Caenorhabditis elegans: one gene and its partner. The protein of the gene in region 2 purifies or fractionates together with the protein of the main gene of each other region. This does not show direct contact. Each region holds a gene or a part of one and is shown on either strand. Other genes may lie near its edges.

Region 1 (4,195 bases), on a different chromosome or scaffold from region 2:
TCGACGTGTTGCAGCTGAAAATTAAAAATTCAAAGTTCCTACTAGAAAGTTTGATTTAAAAAGCTAAAATTGATGACAAAAATTACAGAACTATTTTCTTTGTGTTTTTTCACTACAGGCACGGTACCCGGTCTCGACACGACAAATTATTGTTAAATATAAAAAGGTGCGCGCCTTTAAAGAGTACTGTAGTTTCAAATAATTTTCCATACTTTTTCATTGCTTTTCGAAAAAAAAATCAGATACATATTTAAAAAATGAATGTAAAAATTTAAAAAAATTAAAAAATCTCAGATGATTTTGTATATTTTAAAGTAAATTTATTTAATTTTTAAATTTAACTTTCTTTTGAATTCAATTGATTTGAAAAGCATTTACTTTTTGTGGGCGTTGGTTCTGCTCGAAGAGGCGGTCTACTTGTTCCAGGTTGATCGGACATTTGTATTCTTCAAATAATTCTCACCTTGTTGTTTTTCAGAAAATTGAATTCAATATCTAATATCGATCGTATACGAAGGGTTTTGTGTTACCAAGTATATACATTTTCGAACTTCAATTTATTCGGATAGATTCTGAAAGGATGCTATAAAATTTTGAAAAAAAATTGACAAAAAGGTGGTGAAACTTTGACGAGAAAAGTACTAACAGTGGGATGGTGGGGTTCGGGACTTGGATGTTGATGGTGAGAAGCAATAAATAATTGGAACATTTGAATGAAAAAATGGGAGTTTTCGCATATAAAAAGCAAATGGGCAGAGCCAATTGTGCAAGCTCATTCACTGGCTGAACATTAGTCAGAAATATACAAAAAATGAGAAAATATGGGTTAAAAGAGTGAAAATAAATAAAGAAAGCGAGCACAAAAAACTTGTTCAAAAGTGTTTTTTTTTCGAGGGGAAAACAATGACGACGATCACAGGCGTTGGATTCAAAAGATATATAGAACAAAAGAGGAGCGGAGCTAGAAGGGTTGATGGTACATGAAAAAGTCGTCAATTTATTTACAGCATGAACCCTTTTGTTGCTGTTGTGGTTGGTTCATATCGACAGTTCCCGTTGGTTCACCCTGTGCTGGTCCGATTGGCAACTTTTTAGCTATTGCCATGAAAATATCGTTCACGTTCATTGAGGTCTGTAATTAAATAAATAGAGAATTGATTTTAAATTGGAAATCTTAAATTTCTCATTCATTTTTTAATGGAGATTAGTTCAAAAACTATCTTCGCAGAAAACAAAGTTTATTGTTATTTTTAATAACAATTTTAGTTTTTGATCTATTTCAGTACTCTGTTAACATGTTTTTATTGTCAAAATCCAAATTTTCTAATGTACCTTCGCAGATGTCTCCATGAACAAGAGAGCATTGTCCTCAGCATAAGCATTAGCTTCTTCATACTCAACAGTTCGCTTATTGGCAACATCAGCCTTGTTTCCAGCCAATGCCATCACAATATTTGGAGATGCCTGTCGCTGCAGTTCTTTTACCCAATTTTTCGCTTTTTGGAAAGATTCTTGATTGGTAATATCGTAGACAACAATAGCCGCTTGAGCTCCTCGATAGTACATTGGTGCCAATGAATGATATCTTTCTTGTCCTGCAGTATCCCAGATTTCGAATTTAATTGTTGCATCGTCAAGGCACACCTGAAATTTCGAAAATTCAATTCTTAATTATTAACGTTTTTACGTCTTTCAATATAAAATCCGTGTTTTTCGAGCAAAAATCTCCGCAATTATATTATTAAAAAACAATATATTATTAAAATTCGAGATTTTTCATTTTAGTCAAAATTTTTGTTCAAATTAGGGAAAATTGTTATATTTTCACAAAAAATTCAAAAACTCACAGTTTGAGTGAGGAACGCAGCACCTATAGTCGACTCCTGATACTCGTGAAATTGTCCCTTGACGAATCGCAATACGAGAGATGATTTGCCTGAAATGATAGTTTTCTGTGATGTTTAGGTGAAATAAGAGAGCATATACGTCATATGCTAGCAACTATCAGATGACCCATAATTCTAAACATATAAACAATCAAAAGACGAAGAATTAAACTTCGAAATCAACGCAATTTCGAAATTTTGTGACGGTTTTCAGCAACTGCGAAATATGCTACAGACAGAACGGAGTAGAATAAAAAAATCTTTATTTTTTGGAAAACTGTTCTTGTTTGCTTTTATTTTCTACTCCAACCTTTAGCGGTTTTTTCCATTTTCAGTATCAACTCACCTACAGCACTTTCTCCGAGAAGAACGAGTTTGAACTGGCACGTTCTGTTTGGACCTCCAGGCCGGGCGGTTCCTGCGTTTCGGGCGGCCATTTTCTAAATACAAATTTGTTGAATTTATTACATTAAAAATCGATCGAATAAATTACAAGCAAAAAATAAGCATAATTTCACATAGGAAACGATATGAGGGAGGATTCAGCTGAAAAAATATCAAAATGGTTTCAAAGAGAAATAATGTTGCATTTTTCTTTCCAGAAAGAACAAAAAAAATAATGTTCGACTAAAATTCTATATCTCAATTCTCATTGATAAAACAATTTTGAATCCCTGAAATTTCTAGAAAAATTTCTAAAAATCCTTGTACTTAAAAAGTGGAAAAATTGATTTGAAATGAGCAATTTCCGAAAAAGATTGAAGGCACGCGAGAGACTGAAGAGTGGTAAACAAGCGTATTATTGATTCATACGGGTGTCTCACGAGGAACGAAATTGTGATGAAATCGATAAAGAAATACGGGTTTTGATCACTATTTTCATCAATTCAGTTTGCTTATCTCTGCATATTATTCATCACGTGTAATTTGATTAATTGATAAACTTTTTTCTCAAGTTTTGATGAAGTTTGAGATTAAAATTAGTTTTCTGGAAGCATCCAAAAGTAGTGAACGAATTAAATTGCAGGATATATGAAAATCAATAAAACTAAAAAAAAGAAATATTTGCGCAACAGACATCGATGACACACACGGGCTTCGTCGGGGGTAGCCAATTTGGCTGCGTACCTTCTGGGGTGGTGACGGGCGCAGTTGACTGAGTATTCAATGTTTGTGTGACATCGCAGACAGTTAGACAAAAATGGATGAAAACGGGAGGAGGCTTTTCGGTGCGCGCGCTTTCGAATTTATATTTTTTCGCGCTAGGCCAATTTTACATTTTTGATGAAAATTATTTTTCATTTCGAAAAACTTTTATTTTCCGGTAATTTTTGGCTAAATTTAAAAAAAACGCGCAAAATTAAGCGGAAAAAGTGTGAAATAATAGAGACCCGAAGAACTCGGGGGATGTCCAACTGGGGGGATTACCAACTCGGGGATTGGCCCCGCCTACAGAACCGTGGCTTGCAATACGCCTATTTCTGCAACTGCCGCACGGTTTTAAAACTGTATTTTTCTCAATAGAGCGAGAAATAACAAGAAAAAATAATTTTAAAACCGTGCGGCAGTTGCAGAAATGGGCGTATTGCAAGCCACGGTTCTGTGGGCGGGGCCAATCCCCCGAGTTGGTAATCCCCCCAATTGGACATCCCCCGAGTTCTTCGGGTCTCAAATAATATTCAAGAAAATTCAAAAGAGACTACTGTAGCTGAGTCGTTGCGAGACAACTTTTTTTGTTTGAGCCATGTCCCTTTAAGAGTAAACTGTATTAGAATGTTTTCACATTAAAATTCTCATTTTAAATTTGTTTCATGCTTAATTTTAATATTTCCCAATCATAAAAATTTGTCGATTTTGTGAATAAAAGGTTCAATAAATAAGAAATTTCCTAAACGTATCCTGATTTTCCACCTGACTTGCATTTTTTGACACACTTTTAAAAAAAATTTTTCGTTTCTGATCACTCTCGATATTTTTCATATTTTTTCAAAAACGTTTCGTTCTAAATAGCTCAGAAGAAAACAAAATATTTTTCAGTTTCAATAAATATTGTGATAAAACGATGAAACGAGTCGCTCTTCTTGCCGTCGGGTCGTTCAATCCACCAACAATTGCACATTTACGTATGCTTGAGGTAATCAAATAAAAAAAACATTAAATGTATGATATATGAATTTTCAGGTCGCCAGGTCACATCTCGAAACGATTAATACACAAGTTGTTGAAGGAATAATGAGTCCCGTTGCTGATTCATACAACAATAAACCAACGCTTATAAAATCTAATTTTCGGTAGAAAAAGTTTTTAAG
Region 2 (4,923 bases):
AGAATGCTAAACGGCTAAAAGTTGGAAGTTTTTGAATATTTTAATAAGAAAAATTCAAAGGAAAATGGCTAATATTGAGATGTTTTTTTTTAATTTTTGAGTAAAAAACGGGAAAAAAATTATTTTTGATTTTTTTTTACCAAAACTATAACTACAGTGGAAAAAAGTTTTTTTGAAATTTTTAGTGAAAAATTATAATGCGAAACTGCTAAAAATTGAGAAATTTTGTAATTTTTGAGTCAAAAAACTTTTAAAAAAATTTATTTCGGGCTTTTTCGCAAAATTTAAAATTTCAAAACTCTCAAGTTTTTGAGTTTAAAAATTCAAAAACAAATTTTTTAACAAAGTTCTAATGCATTACAGTTTAAAATAAAATATTTTGAATTTTTAGTTAAAATTTTTTTAAAAATTTTATTTTAATGTTTTTTTTTGGCAAAAGTAAAATGTTAAACGGCTACAAAAAAATTTATAAATTCTTAAATTTTTGAGCAAAAAATCAAGAAATTGATCTTTCTAAAACTCTTACAGCTAAAAATAAAATATTTTGAATTTTTTTCAAATTTTTGGAAAAAAAAAGTTTCCGTTATTTTATGTGATAACTCTCACATTAGCCGAGGGAATTTCTAATTTTTTTAACCAACAATTTTCAAAATTCAAAACGAACCGCATCGAGAATCATATGGTCCTTGTGTGCATGTGCAATATTAATATTTGCCACGTAGTCGAGTGTGGTGTGTGCGAAGCAAGTGCCGACCTGGAAAAGAGCGGGTTTCTTGGTTTGAAAAAAAAAATGTTTTTATTTGTTTAAGGGTTTTTGAGTGGTTTTTCTTGCAATTGAGACGCTTTGTGAGAAACTATTTAAGGTGAAGCAAAAAAAAAAACGACAAAATTGAATGTTTTATATAACCAGAAATTTTGATTTTGTTAAGAACATTTTTAAATTTTTCGATTTATTGTTTAAAAAATAGACTTTTTTTTTCAGAAAATTCTTTTTTTTTCAGTAACATTATTAAATTTTTATCCAAAAATTAATCAATTATTTATTTTAACAATTTCTCGAAAAATAAAATAATCTTGAAAAAAATAAAAAAGAAGATAATATATTTGGAATTTTTTTTACTGTAAAATCGGCTTTTTTTGATAAATCAATATTTCTTTTTTCAAAAAATTGATTGTTCGCTTTAACGATTTTTATATTTCTCGAAAAATATAAATCTTTAAAAAATTACAAAAGAAATGTTTTTAAATTTCTTTTCAGTAAAAATGGGCATTTTTCAAGAAAGTCGATTTTGAATTAGGTTTTTTTCTCTGTTTTTTTTAGTTTTTCGAAAAATTAAATTTAAAAAAAAAATTTCAGTAAAGTTAACATTTTTTTGATGAATCAATAATTTTTGTTGCAAAAATTAATTTACGATTTTTATATTTCTCGAAGAAAAAATTTTAAAAATTTACAAAAAAAAATCACTAAGTAATTTTTTTGGCGAAAAAAAGATATCTGTTTTTTAATTTGTAAAAAAAAATTTCAGTACAATACCTATTTTTAGAAAGAAATTTTTTTCAAAAATTTGGATGAATTTTTTTTTGGTTTTTTATCGAGAATTTCGAATATTTTTCGTTGAAAATTCAAAAAACTCACCGCAGTAAGTGCATTTCGCCCTTCTGTCGCATCTGCAGGCTTTTGCCTTGAAATACTCGCATTTTTGACTAATGCATCATCCATTGATTGGGACATATTCTCAAAATGTGCACGGGATTCTGCCACTTTTGTGAGCTCACTTAAATTAGATTTTAGAGGAAACATTTTTGAATTTTTTTTATTTCGAAAAATCTAATTTTTAATTGAATTTTCAATTTTCTGTTGTGAATTATGCGATTTTTGGTTAAAAACACTTGAATTTTGGCTGGAAATTTATTATTTTTCGAAAAAAATTGCCTTATATTGTTTTATACGTAAAATTGATTTTTTTTTTAATTTGGCGGGAAATTCAACTTTTCAAAAAAGATTTTTTTTTTGAAAAATTACCAAAAAACCCGAGAAAAAATCGAGTTTTGCCTATTTTTTTGCAAATTTTTTTACAGGAATTTTAATTTATTTAATTAATTAATTAATTAATTTTTTCCAATATAGAAATTTTTTTGAAGTTTTCTGGCTCAAAAATTTTTTTAAAATTTTTAGCTCAATCCAAATACCTTTAGTTCAAAAAAAATTAAAATTTTCGATTGTTCAAATTTGTCAATTTTCTGTACCTCTAGAATGAATAATCTAGTAAATCAGCGGGAAATTTGAATTTTTCACCTCTAAATTTAAAGTAAAACGAAATTTTGATTTAAATTCGCTTAAACTCGTTATTTTGTAATTTTCGGCCTTTTTAACTCAGAATTTATCGATTTTTATGATTTTTCGCCAAAAAAAACTCCGGAAATCTCACATTTTAATGAAATTCGACAGTTTCGTGAAAGTGACCACATTTGAATGGTCGAAATACGTGCGAAATAGGTTAACAGTGTGTGCATAGGCTTCTGATAATCCTTGGAATGTTGTAGACGCCAATGGATTGCCGGAGAAGCTTTCATCGCATAATTGATTCACCGAAACCGTTAATTTGCTGGAAAAAACGGGGATTTTTTGAGAAAATTTGAATTTTTGGTTTTGAAACGATTATTTTTCGCTATGTGCCTTTAAAATACAGTAATCTGAAAGCTTAATCGTTTCGAGACCCCAAAAATGAATTTTTTTCACGTACTAAAACGTGTTCGTATAATTTTTGCTGAAATCAATCATTGCAGTGATGTGTCGGAGCATTTCGTTGAGCCGATTCTCTAATCGATTAAAATACATTGCATGTTGAGCGACTGTTGCGCGGAATTTTGGAGAATCCTGCAAAAATTTTAGGTTTTTGGTGTATTTTGAGGGAATTTCTACCTGAATTGCCTCGGAGCAGTCGATTTTTGGCGGAACAGACGGCATCGCCATTCCATTGTTTGATACTGTCATAAAATCTGGAAATTTATCGATTTTATACGAAGAAATTGAGTTTTTTCGGCTGAAAATTGAGAAAAAATAATCAAAAATAATTAATTGATAATATTGCGTCGTCAATTTCAATGCCAAGTATGCAAACACCACAGGTGCACAGAACAAGATCTACCGTACTCTTCAATTAATTAATTGAAGAGTACGGTAGATCTGGTACTGTGCAGCTGTGGTGTTTGCGTACTTGGCATTGAAATTGACAGCACATGTTTATCAATTAATTAATTTGGTTTTTAAAAACGCAATTTTAATAGAAAAAATGTCGAAAAAATGGTAAAAAAACATTTTTCTCTTGAAAATTTTCATTTTTAATAGCTAAAAATAGAAAAATAAACTGAAAACAGTCTTGATTTTAAAAAAATTGCTTAAATTTTTCACTTGAAAAAAATTCAAAAAAGTCTGAAAAGTCCGATTTTTAGAAGAAAAACTAATTTTATCACCATTTTTCTGTACAAAAATTATCGAAACTTATGGAAAATAACAAAATTTTCCCAATGTTAAAATAAAAGTTTTAAGTTTAAATTTTAAAATTAATTTTATTTCCAAAATTTCGCAAAAAAAATCCTATAAAAACGACCAACAATTTTTGGGTAAAAAAACTTTTTTTTTGATAAGTGGCTGTAAATATGCCACGTGGCTTTTGAAATTAAAAAAAAAAACATTTTCAAATGTTTTTTTCAACAACTTAAACTTCCGTATGCGCCTTTAAAGAAAACCAAAAGTCCATATCACTCGCACAATAAAGGAAAAAGAGAAAAATTCCAAGACACGTAACAAAAGCCTCAGAACAGAAAAAAAAAACAGAAAAACAGCCGGTTCTTCTTCTCTCTTGCCGCTACGGCTGCCGCTGATGATGATGGTGATGAACAGGAAAACGAGGGAGAGAAATAGAGAAGAGACGCAGGCAGTTAGACGGCGGGAGAAGAACATCGCGACAACTTTTCGGACGGAGGTCATTGTGTTTGTGGGGGGAAGAAGAAAAGGACGAAATTTTTGGAGAAAAAGGACAGTCGTATATAAACATTCACTGCTTGTTTCTCTAGGAACTCTCTTGATTTTCAATACTCTTTTTTTGTGGAGAGAGCTTGAGAATGAAATTGGGTGAGAGGAGGAGAAGGGGAGGCACCGAGAGCGCAACTAATTTAATATTCTCTTACTTTGCTTTTCTAGGCAGACGAGAAAGAGTTACGGGGAAATTGGAATTTTGCAATGCAACAACATTACACATATGTACACGTGGTACCAGAGTCTTATTTCGGTTTGATCTACGCAGATCTACAAAAAATGCGGGAGTTGAAACGCAGACTTCTCAACTGACTTCGCAAGGTTAAGAGCGTGCTGACGTCACATTTTTTGCGGGAAAAGTTCCCGCAATTTTGTAGATCAAACCGTGTTGGGACAGCCTGGCACCACGTGATTATCCAACAAAAAATACTTTTTTCATCAAAATTTAGTGATAAAATAAAAAAATTTTTTTATCTGAAAATATGTTTTATTTGACTTGGAAACATTGCAAAAAAGCTCAAAAATTAATCGGCAAATCAGCAAACCGGCACATTACCGGAATTGAATTTTCCGGCGAATCGGCAAATCGGCAAATTGCCGGAATTGAAATTTCTGGATAATCGACAAATTTCCGGAATTGAAATTTCTGGATAATCGACAAGCTTGTCGGAATTGAAAGTTTTCGACAAATTGGCAAATTGCCAGAATTGAAACTTCCTGCAAATCGGCAAAATGACAAACAGCCGGAATTGAAATTTCCGGCAAATCGGCAAACCAGGCAACTTGCCGGAATTGCAGTTTTCGGCAAATGGGCAAAATGACAAACAGCCGGAATTGAGATTTTAGGCAATTCAGCAAACCAGCAAATTGCCAGAATTGAAATT

Evidence for each region.
Region 1: the proteins of cnt-1 (region 2) and rab-5 purify together in Caenorhabditis elegans (affinity purification with western blotting, with the first as the bait; one study listed by BioGRID). This does not show direct contact.

Annotation. Positions count from the first base shown.
Region 1 is NC_003279.8:9,306,573-9,310,767, reverse strand, and holds rab-5 (small monomeric GTPase), read right to left. Parts: upstream 2,327-4,195; 5' UTR 2,324-2,326; coding exon 2,233-2,323; intron 1,937-2,232; coding exon 1,848-1,936; intron 1,645-1,847; coding exon 1,333-1,644; intron 1,133-1,332; coding exon 998-1,132; 3' UTR 547-997; downstream 1-546. Other genes in the region: uev-3 (Ubiquitin-conjugating enzyme E2 variant 3), read right to left, coding at 1-14, 379-439; nmat-2 (Nicotinamide/nicotinic acid mononucleotide adenylyltransferase 2), read left to right, coding at 3,949-4,020, 4,068-4,177.
Region 2 is NC_003280.10:12,085,867-12,090,789, forward strand, and holds the start of cnt-1 (Truncated cnt-1), read right to left. Parts: upstream 3,003-4,923; 5' UTR 2,996-3,002; coding exon 2,924-2,995; intron 2,879-2,923; coding exon 2,745-2,878; intron 2,607-2,744; coding exon 2,430-2,606; intron 1,776-2,429; coding exon 1,637-1,775; intron 755-1,636; coding exon 665-754; intron 1-664. UniProt on the Caenorhabditis elegans protein: GTPase-activating protein for the ADP ribosylation factor family. Regulates endosome recycling downstream of rab-10 and upstream of arf-6.